Alligator mississippiensis: one gene and its partner. The protein of the gene in region 1 interacts with the protein of each later gene in a pairwise test. Links are inferred from orthologs where the notes say so. Each region holds a gene or a part of one and is shown in the gene's direction. Other genes may lie near its edges.

Region 1 (9,457 bases):
CATGAATATTTAGATTAATCCTGTGGTTGCAAACTTGACATTTTTTTGTAGCTGTCTTCTGTTCTTATCCTATCTCCTAGTGCCTTAAATATTTCCAAATGCCTATCACTATGCTATCTAAGCCCTGAACAAGATTAACCATTGTTGAAATCATATAATTAATTTAAGATGAACTTTGAAGTCCTTACTCAGTTCTCTATTGGCCAGGACTACCACTGACTCTTACTCTGCCACTTTAATTGACTCCTTCATATTTTCTCTGTTTTAAATAAGGTTTACTTTATTATGCATTCATCAGTGCTTTACTTTGGTTTTGCAGCCTTGGTGAGCACTTTATACATACATCTATTAATAATAATACCTGTAATAGCAGTGTATCCCTAATCAGCACATATATCCCATCCATCTGTCTACTTTCTTTCAGATTAGGATACTGTTTTATAAAAAGCCTGGGCACATTTTGAAGTGTGGGTGTCAACCACATAAGAAGGATCCAAAGAGGCTTTGAAAGGACCTGGGAAATTTAAACACTTAAAAGAGTAGTTGATGGCAAGAAAATTTTAACATGTATTGAAGGAAACTAAAATGCATTGTGTAAACAGCTGACTGGTTAGGAATCAGTCATCATTGTTTCCAAAGACGTTTTTACAAACATCAGTCCTCTGATATATCTCTTGATACCAAGCACTCAGTAGGCATTTAGAAATCTATTTTTTTTTCTTGAAATTGGAACTGGGGTATTGTAAATCTATTAGATCTAGTTGAAGTTTGCCTCCAGTATCTTTAATTTAGATGGTGTATAAATATTTTTGTTCTGTTAAGTTTCTAAATGATTGGTTAAAGGAATCTTCCCTGAATGATGCACCATAGTGATGACTGTCCCACTACGTTTAGAATGTATGTAGGCAAGATGAAAATGAAACCTATTAAAAATCCTTCAGGTTTCAGCAGAAATGGCCATTTCCATGCTTCACTGGTATGCTGTAAGTCCCCCTCTGTGCCCTATCTACAAAGAAAGCGAGTCTATAATAGTTCTCAGCTGAACAACTTAGCTTCTTAGCTCAAGCTATACAGACTCAGGCTTTTCACTTTTCCTGCCACTTAACTGGGCCCAAAATGTTTCATTCAAAACATTTCAGGTTTGACGAACATGTGCCAAAGCCAAGGCACAGCTCCTGTGGGATCCTGCCTGGATACCATGCAGACTTTTTAACAGCTGGGAACCTGATGTTTTCAAGGTCAATGGTGCCGTGGCACACGCAGCAAAAGGAATGCTCCACACCCAGGAACCCAGACTGTGACCTGATGCTTCCAGGGTTCCCAGGCCTAACACAGACCTGCCAGGAGAACTCTGCCAAGGTCAAAGATACCAGGAGTTCCAGCTCCTAGGCAGTCAGTTCTGCCAGGGCCTCCAGCAAAGCCTGAAATCCCTGGGAGTTCCAATTTTAACCAGAGCACCAGACATGGAGATCCCAGATAGCTGGCCTTCTTGCCAGAGTCACTGAACAGCTGGAAGGTCCAGGGAGCATATTTCATTTGGGAACTTCCCATGACATTTTCTTGGAGTGCCTGATTCATGGAAAATATGAGAACAGGTTTTGTTTCTGTGTGACTTGGACTCAAACCAAATTTAAAAAAAATGTAATTTCCTGCAAGTTAGAGGCCCTGCTTTTTTAGCCCTTTCTACTACACAGGTCCCTATGCCAATGATCAGTGTCTGCCAAGATGGCAACTGTCATATCAGTAGAAGCCCACTAAAGATTAGAGCTGCTGTGAGCCTCAGATAATCAGGATGAGTTTCCCCAGTCTAGGGGAAGAATGTATCCCACTGGTGAGCAGATTACTCCTATTTCTATTGCTATTTTAATAGTTTTAAACACCAGAAAAGATCTTGTCAACTGGTGAGATAACACTTAAGTCTCCTTAAAGGAACAGCTCTCCACAAGCAGCTGAACTGGAAGATGTGCTGCACCTCTTTCTGGACCTATTGCTGTGAATATAAATAAGTTCTGGTCTTTAAATCTGTAGTGGGTTGGGGCAGGGAAAGGTTCCCAAGAAAAGCTGGCAGTGAAGCAGATACAGCATTTTGGATATGACCATTTTCCTCACCTGAAGAAGCAACTTCATCAAATGCCTCAGATCAGAAATTAGACAGAGATTCCTAACAGTTCACATAATAAACTAAACCAGGAAAAGCCTTCCATCACTTGCAGTCTTTAAATGAAGGCTGGGCATCTCTCTAAAAAGGTTATACTGATTTAGCCAAAATCTATGGCTTTGCTGCAAGTATTGCTGAGTACAACTCTCTCATGTCCTATGTGTGTCAGACTACAATGTCCTTCTAGTCCCCCCACACCTTAAATCCTATAACTCTTTATGACTGTTAGAAGAAAGAGATGGCTAACATGACATGGTGTCAGATATTGTCACATTTTCAATCATCCCAAATGAGTGTTCACCAAACAGTAAATTCAGCCTTCTGGAACTTTCAGTTTGATAGGGCTGTGGACCAACTGATGCAAGAGGAAATGGACTTGAAAATATTAATTATTTGTCTTGGCTGAACGAGATGAAAATAATTATAACTCTGTGGGTGCATCTACACAAGACACTACTGTGCAGTGGTTACTGCGCATTTATTTAGTACTCATATAAGCACTTGTATAAGCAAGTACTAAATAAATGTGCAATAACTGGAATTAATGAGCAGTAGCGCTGGCGAACATCTTTTAAGTGATGCTACTGTGCAGCAGCCTAATAATACTGTGCAATAGTGTATTAGTATTGCCAGTGCTGTGACATGCTCTTGTACAGTACTATTCAGCTACTTCACAGTCAGCATCTTGTGCAGACGTGAGGTACTACTGAAAGATCTCTGAGCATTTCATTCCATTCAGCAGTCCAGTACAAGAATATCCATGCCTTCACTGAATGGAGGAGAGATACAGAGGAAGTATGAGAGCTTTTAAGAGCCCTGTTTGAACAAGGACTGTATTATGACTTTGGTCTCATTTAAAAAAACAAAACAACAACAAAGCATGAGATCATTTAAATACCTGGGATTATTAAACAAGTAACTTTCTGAACAGTTACAGCAAGTATTAGAGCTAACAGCAGAACAAGGGCTCTGCAATCTGAGTCACAAGGAAAGGAAACAACAAAAACATAGTGCAGGAAATAGCAAGGGAAAAAAAATCCTTTGCAGGAAAAAGAGAAAGGCATTTAAAAGAACTGAGGTCTCTGGACAAAAAAAAAAAAAAAAAAGCAAGGGGGGAATTCAGGACAGGAGAGGTTTGTCTAGCAAGCAGATTTGGGCATAGGAAACGTACAAAGACACAGGAGCATTTCTGTTGAAGCACTGAATCAGGGAGGTGGTCCAACAAAGGGTGGGTAATATGTTTCGTAGTTTCATAGTTGGTAGGGTTGGAAGGGACCTGAGCAGGTCATCAAGTCCGACCCCCTGCCGTGGCAGGAAAGAGTACTGGGGTCAAACGACCCCAGCAAGGTGTTCGTCTAACCTCCTCTTAAAGACCCCCAGGGTAGAAGCCAGCACCACTTCTCTTGGAAGTTGGTTCCAGATCCTAGCCGCCTTGACAGTGAAGTAGCGCCTCCTGATGTCTAGTCTGAATCTACCCTCTGCCAGCTTGTGACCGTTATTTCTCATCACTCCTGGTAGTGCTCGGGAGAACAGGGACTCCCCAATGCCTGCTGGTCCCCTCTGACTAGTTTGTAAATGGCCACTAGATCCCCCCTCAGCCTTCTCTTGTGAAGGCTGAACAGGTTCAGGTCCCTTAGCCTCTCCTCGTAGGGCCTGCCCTGCTGCCCCAATCATGCGGGTGGCCCTCCTCTGGACCCTCTCAATGTTGTCCACATCCCTCCTGAAGTGCAGCGCCCAGAACTGGATGTACTCCAACTGCGGCCTAACCAGTGTCGCGTAGAGGGGGAGAATCACCTCCTTGGACGTGCTTGTGATGCATCTGTGGATGCATGACAAGGCGCGGTTGGCCTTCCTAACCGCGTCCCCACACTGACGGCCCATGTTCATTTTGGCATCAGTAATGACTCCAAGATCCTTTTCTGCCTCTGCACTGACGAGAAGGGAGTTCCCCAGCCTGTAGGTATGCTGCTGGTTCTTCCCCCCCAGGTGCAGCACCTTGCACTTGCCAGTGTTGAAACCCATGTTTGGACACAGGACCTGGGAAGTGAGTTTAATTTCTGAGCAGACCCAGATTTGTAACTGTGAAATCTGCAATCAAGATCAAAGGTCTTCCAGAGCCTACATACCACAATCATCTGCCTTTGCCTTCTCAGTCTGATTGGCCTGGTGCCCACTTACAGCTTGGTCAACTGAGGCTAGTTTTTTCTGTGAGCTTGGAGCAGGACTCAAACTCCCACCGTTATATCAGCAGAGACACCACCTCACAATCCTGAGAGTTATGCTGCTGTTATCAAATCTAAGGTTGAATTGGGATGCAAATTTGATTTGTAGACACTTCTAATGGGACGAGCCTTCATCCAAAATGGGAGCAGCCCAGGAGCAGGAGTCACGATCACACGACAGCTTAAGAGTCCACTGCCTGGATCCAGTCTATGCCTGTTACACGTCCAGAGGTAAGGAGCACTATATATGTAGGACACCTGCACACATGACTCTGTGGCACGACACCTGCTACTGAGGAAGCCACCACAAATGACTCATTTCATGCCTCGCTAAGCAGCCATCAGTCAGCCAACACCACAACAGAGCCAGTCCGTTTCAAACCCTTCCTCTTACACAAACTGAACCTCAATAATGTAGCATTCATAATTGTATTAATAGATTTGGGACCTGCTGTAAAGTCACTTACACCCTGCCTAAAAATTGTCCCGGTCTCCCCAGGAAAGAGGGCGGCGCCCTTGTCACAAAGCAAACATCCTTCCTCCTGGCATCCGGTGCTCACCGCATGGGAGCCCGCGTGGGAAGCACACCTCTTATAGAGCTGGCGAATGTGTCATTATTGTGACTATAATCCTCACCAAGGGCGTCACTCTCTCACATGTCTAGGCGCACCCCTTCCTTGGGGAGTGGGGCCTTGCTACCAAAACGCACAGAAGCAGCGGGCAGAGCCGGCAGCTCGCGCGCAGCTCCTCGGCGGGCGCCTGCCTGCCAGGGCGGCGCTCGCAGCTCGGCCGCTGCGGGACACCCCGACGGCGCCGGCCTTTCGCCCCCGCGTTCCCCAGCGCCGAGCAGTGACCGCACGCCTGTCCCGAGCAGGAGTCGGGCAACGGTGCGCGGGGCCAGGCGGCGCGAGCGCGGGTCCCCTGAGCCAAGCAAGGCCCCGGCAGTGCTGGGCGGGGGCGGAGCCGGGCCCGGCCCGGGAGCGCAGCGAACTGCAGCTCCCGGCAGGCGGCGGCGTCGGGCAGCTATGGCGTCACGGATGACAGGAGGGCTGACGTCACAGGGGAGGATTTCCCCCCTCCCCCTTGGCCCAGCTACTGGGGCGGCGTCGGCCTTGCTGTAACCCGGGAGGCGCCGCGCAGGTCGGTGGGGCCGGGCCGGGGCAAGGGGGCGCGCGCGGGGCGGGGGCGCTCGGCCGGGCTCGCCCCACGCCCAAGGGGAAGAGGAAGGGGCCGGGGCGGGGTCGGAGTCGGAGTCGGAGTCTTGCGTGGGGCCGGGCCCGGGCCCGCTCCTGGCTCCTGCCCCTAGTGCCCGAGCGCTCCCGTGCCGGTGGCGGCGGCGGCAGCCCGGGGCCGACCCCGCCCCCACCGCGGCTCGGGGACACGGGCACTTCGGGGCCTTCCCGCCTTGCGCCGGGCTCCCGGGCCCAGCTCGTCGCCCGAGGGCCGTGCCGGCTCCTCGCCCCGTCGTCTGCCCTCCCCCGCCCCGCGTCTCCCCGGGCAGTAGCGACCCCGCGTGCTCTTAGGCCAGCCGTGGCCGCTTCGTGGGACTGCGTGCGAGGCGCGGGCAAGGCTGGGAGTGCCAGGCCGCAGGGGCCTGCAGCTCCCTGGCCGCCCCGGGGCCGGGCACTGCGAGGGGCAGGCGGGCGTCGCGCTGACGGCGGGGCCCGCGCAGCGGCCAGAGTCGCTGTCCGGCGGCAGTGGGAAGTGACAGGCTGCTCCTGGAGAAACAAAGTCAGGTTGCAAGACTCAGCGTGAAGGATTAACCGAGAGAGCGGCTGGCTTGTTCTAAGCACAGCCCCTCGGTTGGAAAGAGGAGAAACCGGGATGCCGTTTCTCTGAGCTGTTTGTTTCCAAGCCCCTCTGAGTCATAACCATCAAGAGGTTTTTCAACTGGATGACTCTGGCCCTTTCTGATTTTAGGCACAGACCCAGCCGTTATCTGGGCACAAGGCAGTGTGTACGTCAGCAGAAGGAGAGCTGCCACCGCAGTGGGTAGCCAGCTGCAGGATTGGGACACTTAGGAGGCAAAGCACCCCCGTTGTTTCACTGGTCACAGTTGGAGTTGGCTCCTGACCTTTTACTGTGGGTGGCTGGAAGGAGAAAGAGGATAGGGTAAGGACAGACACTGGGGGTAAGCGTGAAATCCTGCCTCAGCGCAAAGGCAGGTGGTGGAGGGCTGGTTATTATGGAGACTCAGCACTGGCATCCTTCCAAACCCAATCTTCTGGTAAATGGGCATTTCTGGGTGTGGCTTTTCAGCTCAGTCTTGCTTTGGCCAGTCTTTGCTATACTGCAGTTTTATAAGTGTGAGTTAACATTTGGGTGGTTAACAACACTGAAATGTCTGTGCATCTAATTGGGGGACCCAACTGGGTAGCTTGGGGTGTTTGTTTTTACACATGCTCCAGAGGTAAGGGGCGCTTTAATTAGAGCAGCTCCGAGAGCCGCTCTAATGAAAGCTCCTGCAACGTCTTGTGTATCAGTGTCCTTGTGCTTCAGAATTGTGGTGGGGGCACTTTAACTAAAGCTCAGCCAACAAGCTGTAGTTAAAGTACCCCCGCTGCCATTTTGAAGAATGAGGATGCTGGTACGTGAGATGCAGAAGCCACTGGAGCACACTAATTAGCACGCTTCAGCAGACTCAATCCAGTCTGCTCTTACACACTGTAATTACAGCATGTCGGAGCAGCCTCCCCACACATCTACAGGCCCCCTTGGGACTTAGCTTTGTGGCTGGACTGTTGCACACACAAAGAGCCCCACAAGATCCAGCTCTTGATTTATGGCCATTGCAGTTTTAATTATATTAACTCCTTGTCATTTTCTTTGCCCTCCAATAGCTGGAAATAGGGAAGGTTATCATTATTATTATTTTTAATCTGTTTTTGAGTATAGTATAAAGTTAAGGCAAGAGACATTGTAATTCTGGATCACAGTTATGCTTACTGAGAAAAATGTTACTAGTGTGTCAAAAATGTATACTAGTGTGTATACTTAACACACATACTAGTGTGTATAATCAACAGAGGAAGAAGTATACATCCTCTTTAGCCTTGCTTATGGTTAATTCAGGTCCAGTGTTTACAGAACTCCATTATATTCTTGCTTTTAGATTTCCATGACTGAAAAATTTGTTCAGATCAATAATCAGTTTCAAATATTTTTTGATCCTGTGGTATATCAGTTGTGTTTATGTAAAACTGACTTAGTGATTGCCACTTACTTTTGATCTTGTCAAACTCTGTTCTGTAATTGTGGGGAACCTTTTTTTCAAATGTTGTTAGTTAACTGCAAATTCATAGATTTCATAGACATTAGAGCTGGAAGGGACCTCGCAAGATCATTGGGTCCAGCCCCCTGCCCAAGGGCAGGAAGTCAGCTAGGGTCAAAGGATCCCAGCAAGATAGGATCCAAGTGTTTCTTGAAAGAGTCCGGAGCAGGTGCCTGCACCACCTCCGCAGAGAGTCTATTCCAGGCCATGGGGACTCAGACAGTAAAGAAGTTTTTCCCTATGTCCAACCTAAAACAGTCTTTCATGAGTTTGTGACCATTAGACCTTGTCTTCCCTTGGGGTGCCCTGGTGAACAGACGTTCTCCCAGTTGCTGAGGCACACCCCTTATGTACTTATAGGCTGCCACCAAGTCCCTGAGCCTTCGCTTCTCCAGGTTGAGGAGTCCCATGGCTCTCAGCTTCTCTTCATAAGGCCTGCTTTTTTGTCCTCTAATCATGTGTGGGGCTCTCCACTGGACTCTCAAGCTTCTCCACATCCTTTCTGAACTGCAGAGCCCAGAACTGGATGCAGTATTCCACCTGCGACGTCACCAAGGCTGAGTAAAGTGGGAGGATGACTTCCTGGGTTTTGCTTCAGATGTATTGGTAGATGCAAGCCAGAATTTAATTTGCTTTGCCAAGCTGCAGCATCACGTTGGTGACTTATGTTCATCTTGTGGTCAATCATGACCCCCAAGTCTCTTTCAGTCATGGTGCTAGTGAATGTAGCACTGCCAAGCCTGTAAGTGTGATGTGAGTTTTTTCTTCCGAGGTGGAACACCTGGCATTTCTCTGTGTTGAATGCCATCAGGTTTTGACCGGACCAATTTGCGAGCCTGTCAAGGTCAGCCTGGATCACCAGCCTATCCTCTAGGGTGATCGCACTCCCCCATAGTTTGGTGTCGTCAGCGAACTTGGCCAGTCCGCTTCTGACACCAGAGTCCAGATAATTTATAAATATGTTAAAGAGTACAGGCCTGAGAGATGAGCCCTGGGGGATGCCACTGGTCACCATGGGCCATGTTGATTTGGTTCCAATGACTATACCGTATTTCATCTAAAAATGAAGCTTTGGGAGGGCCAGGGATGGACATTTAATTGTTTGGTACCTACATTACTCCCATTTACTTTCTACCTGGGTATCCAAGTAGAGAACAATTATATACATTTTACCCTGGTGCATAACATGAAATCATATAGATTTCATAGACTTCATAGATTTCATAGACATTAGGGCTGGAAGGGACCTCGGAAGATCATCGAGTCCAGCCCCCCGCCCAAAGGGCAGGAAGTCAGCTGGGGTCATAGGATCCCAGCAAGATAAGCATCCAGTTTCATCTTGAAGGTGTTCAATGAAGGCACTTGAACAACCTCCGGTGGCAGGCTGTTCCAGACCTTGGGGGCTCGGACAGTAAAGAAATTCTTCCTTATGTCCAGCCTGAAACGATCTTGTAGTAGTTTGTGACCATTTGACCTCGTCATCCCTTGGGGCGCTCTGGTGAACAAACGTTCCCCCAGATACTGGTGGTCACCCCTGATAAACTTATAGGTGGCCATCAGATCACCCCTGAGCCTGCGCTTTTCCAGGCTAAAGAGCCCCAGGGCTCTCAGCCTGTCATCGTAGGGTCTGCTTCCCTGACCTCTGATCATGCACGTGGCTCTTCTCTGGACTTTCTCAAGCTTCTCCACATCCTTTTTGAATTGTGGAGCCCAAAACTGGACGCGGTACTCCAGCTGCGGCCTCACTAAGGCCGAGTACAAGGGGAGAATGACATCCCGGGATTTGCTTGAGAAGCATCTATGGAT
Region 2 (9,247 bases), on another chromosome or scaffold:
GGCTTCTGTGTGACTTAGAGACATCCTGACACACGCTTTCCAAGAGCCTGCTACACGCTTGGTGACTCTCCCCGTAGGAGCCTGCCAATGCCTCCAGGGGCAGAAAGATTGTGAAGAAATGTCACATTGGCAAGAAGAGCACCAGCTGGATTTGGCCTCCCAGGTTGAGCCAGTGGCCTGTTTCATCTGGTCTCTACCTCCTGGTAGCAGCTGATCTTGAATGCATCAGAAGGAAGTGAAATGGAAACTTTCCCACCGTGCATTTAGCCAGTTGCACAACACAGTTTAAAGTCTGGGGGGAGGGAAAGGGGGAGAAAAAAAAATCCTACCTGTCTCTCAGGCAGTCAGCAGAGGCCTTGAAACAGGAGAGTTGATTACTCGAGATTGGCATCTCTCATTCTGCATGCAAGTGAATGCCATCTGCGGTCACCGAATTATCCAGCCACCCGGCTGGACTCGCCGCAGCTTGGAGTCACCTGTGTCGTTTGATGACATGTCTCTCCAGCTGTTTGGTAACAGCAGGTTCAGTGAATGGTCCAAGGGATGTGTTATGGGCTGCTTACCAGCCAGCAGCTCCCTACAAAGTATTTCAGCATCAGGGGCTCAGTGCAGGACATGGGACACCCTGTTTGTTTGCAGCTCTTCCTCTGTCCATGCCCAGTCTCGTCTTCATGCTGCATCCCATCACCAGGAGAGCATCACTTGGTGGTACCACGTCCTGTGACACCAGCCACCAGAACTGGACAGCTCCTTGCGCTCTGCTCTTCCTTATATATTGAAGGGAGCTCGCTGCACTGGTGCTGGACCCCGGACCCAGAGCCTTCCCCCCCTAGGGAGGGGAATCTTACCCCTTCTCTCCTCTGTCACTTCAACTACCCAGACTGCTCCTGAGCATGTTAGTTAATCATTGCAGGAATCAGGTGTTCATCAAGCCCAAGCCTCTTTACTCGAGTCAGAGGCCAAGTGCCAACATCCTCTCCACGGCAAGGGATGTGGTGTCACACAGGGGACTCTAGTGTTGCAAGGAGTGCACAGTGATGGAGCAAACACCTCAGCTTAGCACAAGCCAGTGCAAATGTAAGTCTGCCCAAGCATAACAGCCCATGGGGCTAGTGTGGTTCATGCACACCCATGTCTGTAGCTAGCAGCACACAAGGGAGTGATGTAGCTGGCATCCTGTGCCTCCCCACCCCGCCAAATGGCCAGATGTTTGCATATAGCTAGATCCACTGACAGCAGCCTCTGGCAGGAGTCCAGAGCAGGCACCTTAGCCACTCTGCCACCGGCAGAGGCAGCATGAAATGATGGTTCAGATGAGACTGCCATCCAGAAGGATCCAATCCAATGAGCAATGTGTTGACATGAGGCCTGCAGAACTGGGGCTTGCTTTTCCCACCCTGTCTCTGCCCTGGGTGACACTTATCCATGCAGAGCACCTCTGGAAACACGTGCACATCCCTTGCCATCCACTGGGGCCTGCCTGCCTGTTCCTATGCACCATGACTCTGCACACCCAGCTTTTAACATAGCTGGATTTTAATCACACAATGCAATCTTAATCGCACAACATTCCCTTTTCCTCCTATTAAATCAATGGGCACATAATCTGTGATTATAAATGCACTCATTTTCCCTGAAAGATAATTACAAAGAATGCAGTTGTTCTGCTCTGGGTCTGGTATTTAGATGGTTATTTTTATTGCATCATTTTGCAGGTGCTCCAGCCAGGAGAGAAAAGTTAGCCCAGAAGCTGGCATTGGTCAGCTCCTGCTTTTCCGAATTATTATCGGTGGCAGTACCCTAATACCTGCTCGCACCAGTCAATATCAAAGCCCTGTAGTGACCGATTCTGCCTAAACCCTTGGCCTGGCCACAGATTTTAGCTGCTTCAAATAACATTTTTTCTGTGGAAAATGTCAATAACATTGCAAAAATAGAGTTATTCTCATCAAATTTTTTGGTGGAAAACCTACTTTCCATCCAAAACAGTGATGCTTCCACTTGTCAGGCAGAATTTTGTTTTAAATATCTGATGAAGAACCAGTTTTTTTCAGGAAAAAGGACTGCTTGAAGTGAAAATATGGTTGTTTTTTTTTAAAAAATCATCAAAAAAACACTGGAAGCAGTATTAGAGTGATATTGTAGCCATGCTGGTTCAAGAAATATCAGTATGTGAGTAAAGAGGTTTTTTCCGGGTGAAGGGGGAGGGAGGAGGCTTCTGGTAATGTTGATGTTGTAACCATGCTGGTAAAAATCTTTACACTTTACTGGAAGATATTTTATCACCCCTGTCCAAGACTCTTGCTGTTGTCAGAAATATATTATTTGTGCAAGCAAGAGAGAGGAACAGCGGGACGGGGAGGGCACAGAGCAGAGAATAGATATGATTCGACTAAGGGGAGGCAAGGAAGGCAGTGGCAGGGGTGGCATGAGGACCCTGGCACCCAGGATCGCATCTCATTTACTGATCAACACTGCCCCTCACTAGCCAGTGCTATTCATTAGTCTGCAGGCACGCTGTAGCAGTCTGAACCCCATTTCTGCAGCAAGTGGGCTGTCTTGGGTGCTGTCCTGGAACGGCAGCTCTGCCTCTGCTTTGTGTTTGAGTAAATGGGAAATTGAGCAATGCAATCATTGCAGCGACTTCTATGTTGGTGTTTTAGATACACAGGTTTGCTGGTAAGTCACTGGGCTGGTACAGAGGTATGGTAAGGGACCCGTTTCACAGTGTAAGCTGGCAGGGTGATTCAGGGAAATATATTTGCAATCAGCAAGGTGTCTTCAAGGATTAGAGCTGAAAACTATGAAGAAAAGGAGAGGTTCCTCCCAGTCCTGTAATGACCTGTCTGGATCCCGCCCCACATCTAGGGTGGCCATCATAGAGGACAGTCCAGTTGTCCTCTGTCCTCTATTGATACGAAACCAACTCTATTTTTCTTGAAGAGAAAAATAGAGGCCATAAAGGCGTCAGGTTTCATATCAATAGAGGACAGAGGACAGAATAGCAGAAAACTGGAATGTCCTCTATGATGGCCACCCTACCCACATGCCAACCAGCCGATCCATTGCCCTTTCCCTGGGCATTATTACACCTTGCATAGCCACCTGCACTAGTGCATGCAGCTCCACCGTGCTTGCTCAGAGGGGCTGGTTGAGTGTCCCCCCTCCACCGCTCACATCCTTTGAGGGAGGGGGACACAGAGCTTTGATTAACCTCTTGCTCTCCAGCAGCTGGGGCCAGGCCCTGACCTGTTACATGTCGTGTTGCCCAGTCACAATATGCAATGCCAGGCTTGTTGTGAAACCCAGTTCAGTGGCTGGAGTCCGTTAAGGTCACAGAAATATTTAACTGCAGCATTGCTCGGGGCAGGTCTGGCTCAGTGTGGCAGCTAGAGGGAGTTGTCCAAGGGACGCAACTTTTGGACGCAAAGACCAGCTTCCCCGGGCTTGGCTCCAGTGGGCTTGGATAGAATCTCAATGCAATGATTTCAGACATGTCTCCCCAGGGGACTTTTCCTTGTCAGCCACATCTCTGCATATCAAAGCCTTTGCAGGCACCTTCTCTCCCCCACACAGTCTACAACCCATTTTACTGCTATTCCTTTGCATCACTGTGCTCCTAGAGGTCCCAACTGGAAGCTAAGCCCCAGCTTTGCTGGTTGCTATGTTTCCCAGGGCCTGATATCTTCTAGGTGCTAGGGCAGGAGCTGCTGAGGCCCTGCCTCTGTATCTCCCCCTGAGCTGGGCATGCTCTGGGCTCTCACTGCTGAAGTCTTGGAGCCCTCTGTTCACTGCTGCTGTCTCCGTCTCACTGCTCGATGTCCTGTGCTGCATCAGGGTTGCCTGTGTGGCTGTTAAGAGGCTGCTAGACAATGGATTTGGATGGGATGGTCTGGGTAGGGGGCTGGATGAGAGACCTTCCCAAATCTGACCCCCAATTCTGCAGCAAGGAGACCAGCTGGGCCTTTAAAATGCTGCGTTGTATTTGAATGACTGGGAAACTGAGCCGTGCAATGGGGGCAGCCACTCCTGCACTGGTGCACTGGCGCTGCTTCTAGGGGGAAGTACAGCATTGGGGCTTTGATCCCTTCCAGCCTCCTGCTTCTCCACCGCTCTAGGATCCCCAGCTGTTTCAGCGGTGGGTGTGGTCGAGCCAGGCACAAATCCAGCTGTTCCAGCGGTGGGTGTGGTCGAGCCAGGCACAAATCCAGCTGTTCCAGCGGTGGGTGTGGTCGAGCCAGGCGCAAATCCAGCTGTTCCAGCGGTGGGTGTGGTCGAGCCAGGCGCAAATCCAGCTGTTCCAGCGGTGGGTGTGGTCGAGCCAGGCGCAAATCCGGCTGTTCCAGCGGTGGGTGTGGTCGAGCCAGGCGCAAATCCAGCTGTTCCAGCGGTGGGTTCGGTCGAGCCAGGCGCAAATCCAGCTGTTCCAGCGGTGGGTGCCGTCGAGCCAGGCGCAAATCCAGCTGTTCCAGCGGTGGGTGTGGTCGAGCCAGGCGCAAATCCAGCTGTTCCAGCGGTGGGTGTGGTCGAGCCAGGCGCAAATCCAGCTGTTCCAGCGGTGGGTTCGGTCGAGCCAGGCGCAAATCCAGCTGTTCCAGCGGTGGGTGTGGTCGAGCCAGGCGCAAATCCGGCTGTTCCAGCGGTGGGTGTGGTCGAGCCAGGCGCAAATCCGGCTGTTCCAGCGGTGGGTGTGGTCGAGCCAGGCGCAAATCCAGCTGTTCCAGCGGTGGGTGCCGTCGAAGCGGCTGTTCCAGCGGTGCCCCGGCCGGGCGGGCAGGCTCCGCCCGCGGAGGCAGCAGCCGCTGGTCCCGGGGCGGAGCCGGGGGTGGGGGGGCGGCGGGGCTCCGGCTGCGGACGGCTCCTCTCCTGCCCCGGACGGCACGGACAGCCCAGGTACCGGGCCCGGGAGGGATGGGGTCCCACAACCCGTGCCCTGCGACAGCCCCTGCAGGCACCGGGCGGGCAGGGAGCGGGGCCAGGCAGTGCAGGGCACACTTGCACGGCGCTCGCCTGTGGGGATGCTGCCAGCGCACCCTGGTGCCAGCCTGGCCCCCAAGTCTGCCCCACCGACACACACAGCCGACTTGCTGCCTGAGTTGCACGCTGGACTCGCTCACTGAGACACTGAGTCGCACACGGGACGGGCTTCCTTGCGCACCGAGTGCACACCGGACTAGCTCCTTCAGACACTGGGTCGCACATGGCACGAGCTTCCTTGTACACCAAGCGCACACCGGACTAGCTGCTTCAGACACCAGGTCGCACATGGGCTGGGTTTCCTTGCACACCAAGTGCACACTGGACTAGCTCCTTCAGACACTGGGTTGCACACAGGATGGGCTCCCTTGCACACCAGGTGCACACTGGACTCACTCCCTCAAGCACCAGGTCACACATGGGACTCGTTCCCTTGGACACCAAGTGCACATGGGACTCACTGTGTCATGCACCAGGTCACACACAGGACTCACTCCCTCAGACGCTGAGTCATTCATGGGAGTCATTCCCTCAGACATCAACTCACACACCTGACTCACTCTGCCTTGCACGATCGCTCTGGCTCACATCCCCTTCCTCCTCTCCCTTGCTGCAGGTACCAAGAGGGAAGGATACACCTGAGTGTGCCCATGGCTCAGGTGCCGGGCAACTGTTCCCAGGGCTCTCCGCCAAACAGTGCCAGCTCTTCGGTGGGACCCGAGCAGATCCAACACCTCTTGCACATGTGCAAGGAAGCCAAGAAAGCAGCCTATTGTCCCTACAGCCACTTCCCAGTGGGAGCAGCTCTTCTGACTGGTGACGGGAGGATCTTCTCTGGTAAGTGAGGATGGAGCCGTAACATCTCAGCCGCTTGTCAAGCCGTGCCCTTCCCTGCCTAGTAGAGCTTCTTCCCCTGAGCTAATGTAGCTACACCGCTTCCCTTTGCAGAGCTGGCTTGGAGATCTCTGCAGAGGGCTGCCCCGTGCTCTTTGGACTCTGTTATGTTCACAGCTAACTCAGGGTATCTCTGCATCTGTAGTATGCCACAGAGTTACAACCCAAGTGCCTCTGCATGGGCAGAGACATCTCACATCCACAGAGTGACGCCTTATAGAGGTACAGATGCTGGGTGCCGGGGTCTGGAAAGCAGCAGGCTGTGCAGTAACAAGGTTTGGTCTGTACTACGAGCACAGTACAGTGGAGAAAGCTTTGCTCTGTGCTTTTTGTATCCTTACTTTTTATCTCCCGATGTCACCTCACTTGGCTGCAGGGGGACTCGAGATTTCACCTGTCTTTTCTAAGCTGAGGGTGGTGTTACAGGTTCCCCTAAAACCATAACATGCAAGCCATCACTCATTAAAAAGTGTTAGCCCGTGATAAGTCCCCTCTAAATGTTTTACAGTTGTGTCGCTTTGAGGTGACATTTATCTTTGAACCATTTTACCCGGGTCATCCTCGGGTACTGTTCGAATGCTCTGGGGAGATAAAGCGCTCTTCTCTCATGCCTCCAGCATCTCAGGGTGCACCTCTGTGGGATGGTGCTGGCTGCAAGGTGAAACCCGCTCCCGTCCCCAGAGGTGTGACCCTGACTGCTCTGCACCCAGGGGCAATGCACTTCAACCGTTTGCTGCTTGCTCTGGCACCTCCGTGCAAACAGCAGCAGCAATCGATTCTACTACCTCCATGGTGCTGGGTCGCAGCGCTGCCCTGGCGTGGCATGCAGTGAGCCTGCTGGGTCTCAGCGCTGCCCTGGTGTGGCAAGCGAGCCCGATGGGTCTCAACTCTGCCCCAGGATGGCATGTAATGAGCCCGCTGGATCTCAGCTCTGCCTTGGTGCAAGCACTAACACAAGTCGCCCCTGCCCCAATCCCAATTCAGTGAAACACATGCAAAATTTTGGTCCTTTATTTATCTTCATTGTATTCTCTTTTCCCCCCACTCCGTTCTCTTTACTTCTCCTGCCACCCACTTCACTTCAAACAGCCTTTTTTTCTCCAAGACTTTTATCTTCCCAAGCCAGAGCCCGCACGCTGGTTTCTTTGCCTCCCAGCTACAACCCCCCTGTCCCCTCCTTTCCCACCCCAGAGCCCCGGCTCCTGGCCAGGCCCCTGCGTGCCAGGCTCTCCAGTGACAAGTCACAGCTGTGCAGGTGTGAGAGGGCATAAAGCCTTAACCTGGGACTGCTCTGAAACTCTTCTCACTTTGTCACCGTGTAAAAACCCCAAAAGTAAAATGTCCCAGAAGTGACCTGTAACAGCACCCTGAGTTTCAATCCATATTCAGCCTCCACCTCCTCTTTCTGACAATGGCCTCACCTGCTTCCCCACCCACTCCAGCACTGACTAGGACAGGGAACTAAACAAGAAAGCCTTTTTTTGCATCCCCGCCTTTGGAAAGTCCAGTGCACCCGCTCAGATTGGTGGTGGCAACGGGGAGGTTGTTTCCCTCGCTGTTTTTGTTATGTTTGAAAAGCTGAAGCTCTTCGGAGGCAAACAGTGATGTGAAACTTTGTGTGTGCAGAGAAATGCTCGTACAAGAGGACCCTAAAGGATCAAAGCTTCAAGAAACAAACCACCCGCTCCCCACACACACATGTGCTGCTTTTTAACAAAAGATTGCTTGATTTTTAAGCCAGTCTCATAATTTTTGGGAAGGCAGGCAAGGAGGGGACCCAGATTCCTGACTTGGATCTCGTTGTTTCATTGTGTTCTTCCATCTCTCTGCATTCACCAGTTGATTCTTGTCTTATACCTACATGATAAGCGCTTTGGGGCTGGAACCACCCTTTGCGGCATAGTGAGTTCTGGGGCTGCGACTGGGGTTTTTAGGTGCTGCGGTAGTACAAATACTGATGATTTCTGAATGGTGGCTGGCCAGCCAGTGCCTCTGGCTGCAGCATTAGGATCCTGCTGCCCCTAAGGCATCCCTGCCTGTCCAAGCCATCTTGTTCTCCCTAGCTGTGCTTATCTCCCAGGCCACATTCAGATCTTTGCAATCCTCTAAGGCTGGCAAATAAATTGGGTGTGGGGAAAGCCCAGGAGAACATCACTGAATCATATGAGGAACTGGCTTTTGGTTGGTTTCTGTTTGCTAGGTGAGGTTTTCTCTGGGCATGAGCAAGCCCCAACAGATTGAGACCAGATGGGGATTACTTTGTAGGCTACTAAACTATAAATCCTCTCTTCCTGACAGCAGTTAGCACGAAGGTACAGAAGAAGCAGTAGGTACATTTCACCTACATTTCACCTACATTTCCCAGTTTGGACTGGAGGTGAAGAGATGACTCAACCACAGATCAAGCCTTGAGTCCTCTTTAAAAAAACAGAAATAGGGCTTGTTGAAAGATGGAGAAGGCTGAGGGCAACTCCCAGCTCCTTCATTTTGCTCCTCCTGTGAATAAAAACCAAGGAAGGTAGGAGATTTCCTTGCACGTTCTGGCAGGGGCCAGCCTGGGCAGACACTCCCCAACAATGTGCCTGAATATTGGTACTTGGAGCTAGGTGGGCAGGGAAAAACCTATTTACCAATAACAATCCAAAGGGAACAAATCCAGCTGCTGCATCTGGACCTGGGGCCTGAGGGATCCTTTGCTACCTTTGGTCCTTGCATTTGTAGCATAGCTTTATAGCCCGGTTTGCAGAGGTGCTGAGCATCTGTAGCTCTGCTTGATTTCAGGTGCAGGTGTCAGCTCAGCAGGTGGGAGAAATGAGAACGTCTTGAACACACAACACATAGGCTTTCTCCGCTTACGTTCTTCACGTTAGGCTTTAATTGCTTTTCCTCTGGCCCATAGTAACGGATCCTGCGCAGGCCAACGTGTGCACCCCACCAATCGGGTAATCATCCATGCAGGCAATCCAATAATGAAAAAAATGCAAAGGCGCAGTGGCCAAAGCTACCAAACAACACTTTTGCTGAGGGGGGGGATCTGGTGAGTTTAATGGAAAGACATACATTGGATGCCACTGAACAGGGGATCTGCAGCATGGAGAGAGGAAGCACGTAATCCTTGCTTCCTTCACCAACTCTTAATTGCACATCAGTTATGCCACCCTGCGCCCTCCCGCAAGCCGCAGCCTGGTCTGATTTCCCCGTCTCAGCAAAGCCGGACCTTATTAGCACTCGGCTGGAATCCAGCTGAAGTCGGTGCTGGCGGCTCAGGAAGTGGCGTACTTCTTTCTGAGTCCGTCTTGTCCCAGCTTTCACCATCGGGCCGGAAGCGCTTACAACAGCTATTTAAAGGGCAACAGTTGCTGCTGGGAGGAAATGG

The links.
Region 2: the proteins of PLEKHB2 (region 1) and CDA interact in binary tests that used the Homo sapiens proteins (3 or more experiments, as listed by UniProt). The two-hybrid records come from large-scale screens. The link is inferred for Alligator mississippiensis from reciprocal best matches to the Homo sapiens genes PLEKHB2 and CDA.

What each region holds. Positions count from the first base shown.
Region 1 is NC_081830.1:41,225,729-41,235,185, reverse strand, and holds the start of PLEKHB2 (pleckstrin homology domain-containing family B member 2), read left to right. Parts: upstream 1-5,421; 5' UTR 5,422-5,520; intron 5,521-6,300; exon of another isoform or gene 6,301-6,492; intron 6,493-9,457. UniProt on the Homo sapiens protein: Involved in retrograde transport of recycling endosomes.
Region 2 is NC_081836.1:5,532,940-5,542,186, forward strand, and holds the start of CDA (cytidine deaminase), read left to right. Parts: upstream 1-4,836; 5' UTR 4,837-4,893; intron 4,894-5,593; 5' UTR 5,594-5,627; coding exon 5,628-5,814; intron 5,815-9,247. UniProt on the Homo sapiens protein: This enzyme scavenges exogenous and endogenous cytidine and 2'-deoxycytidine for UMP synthesis.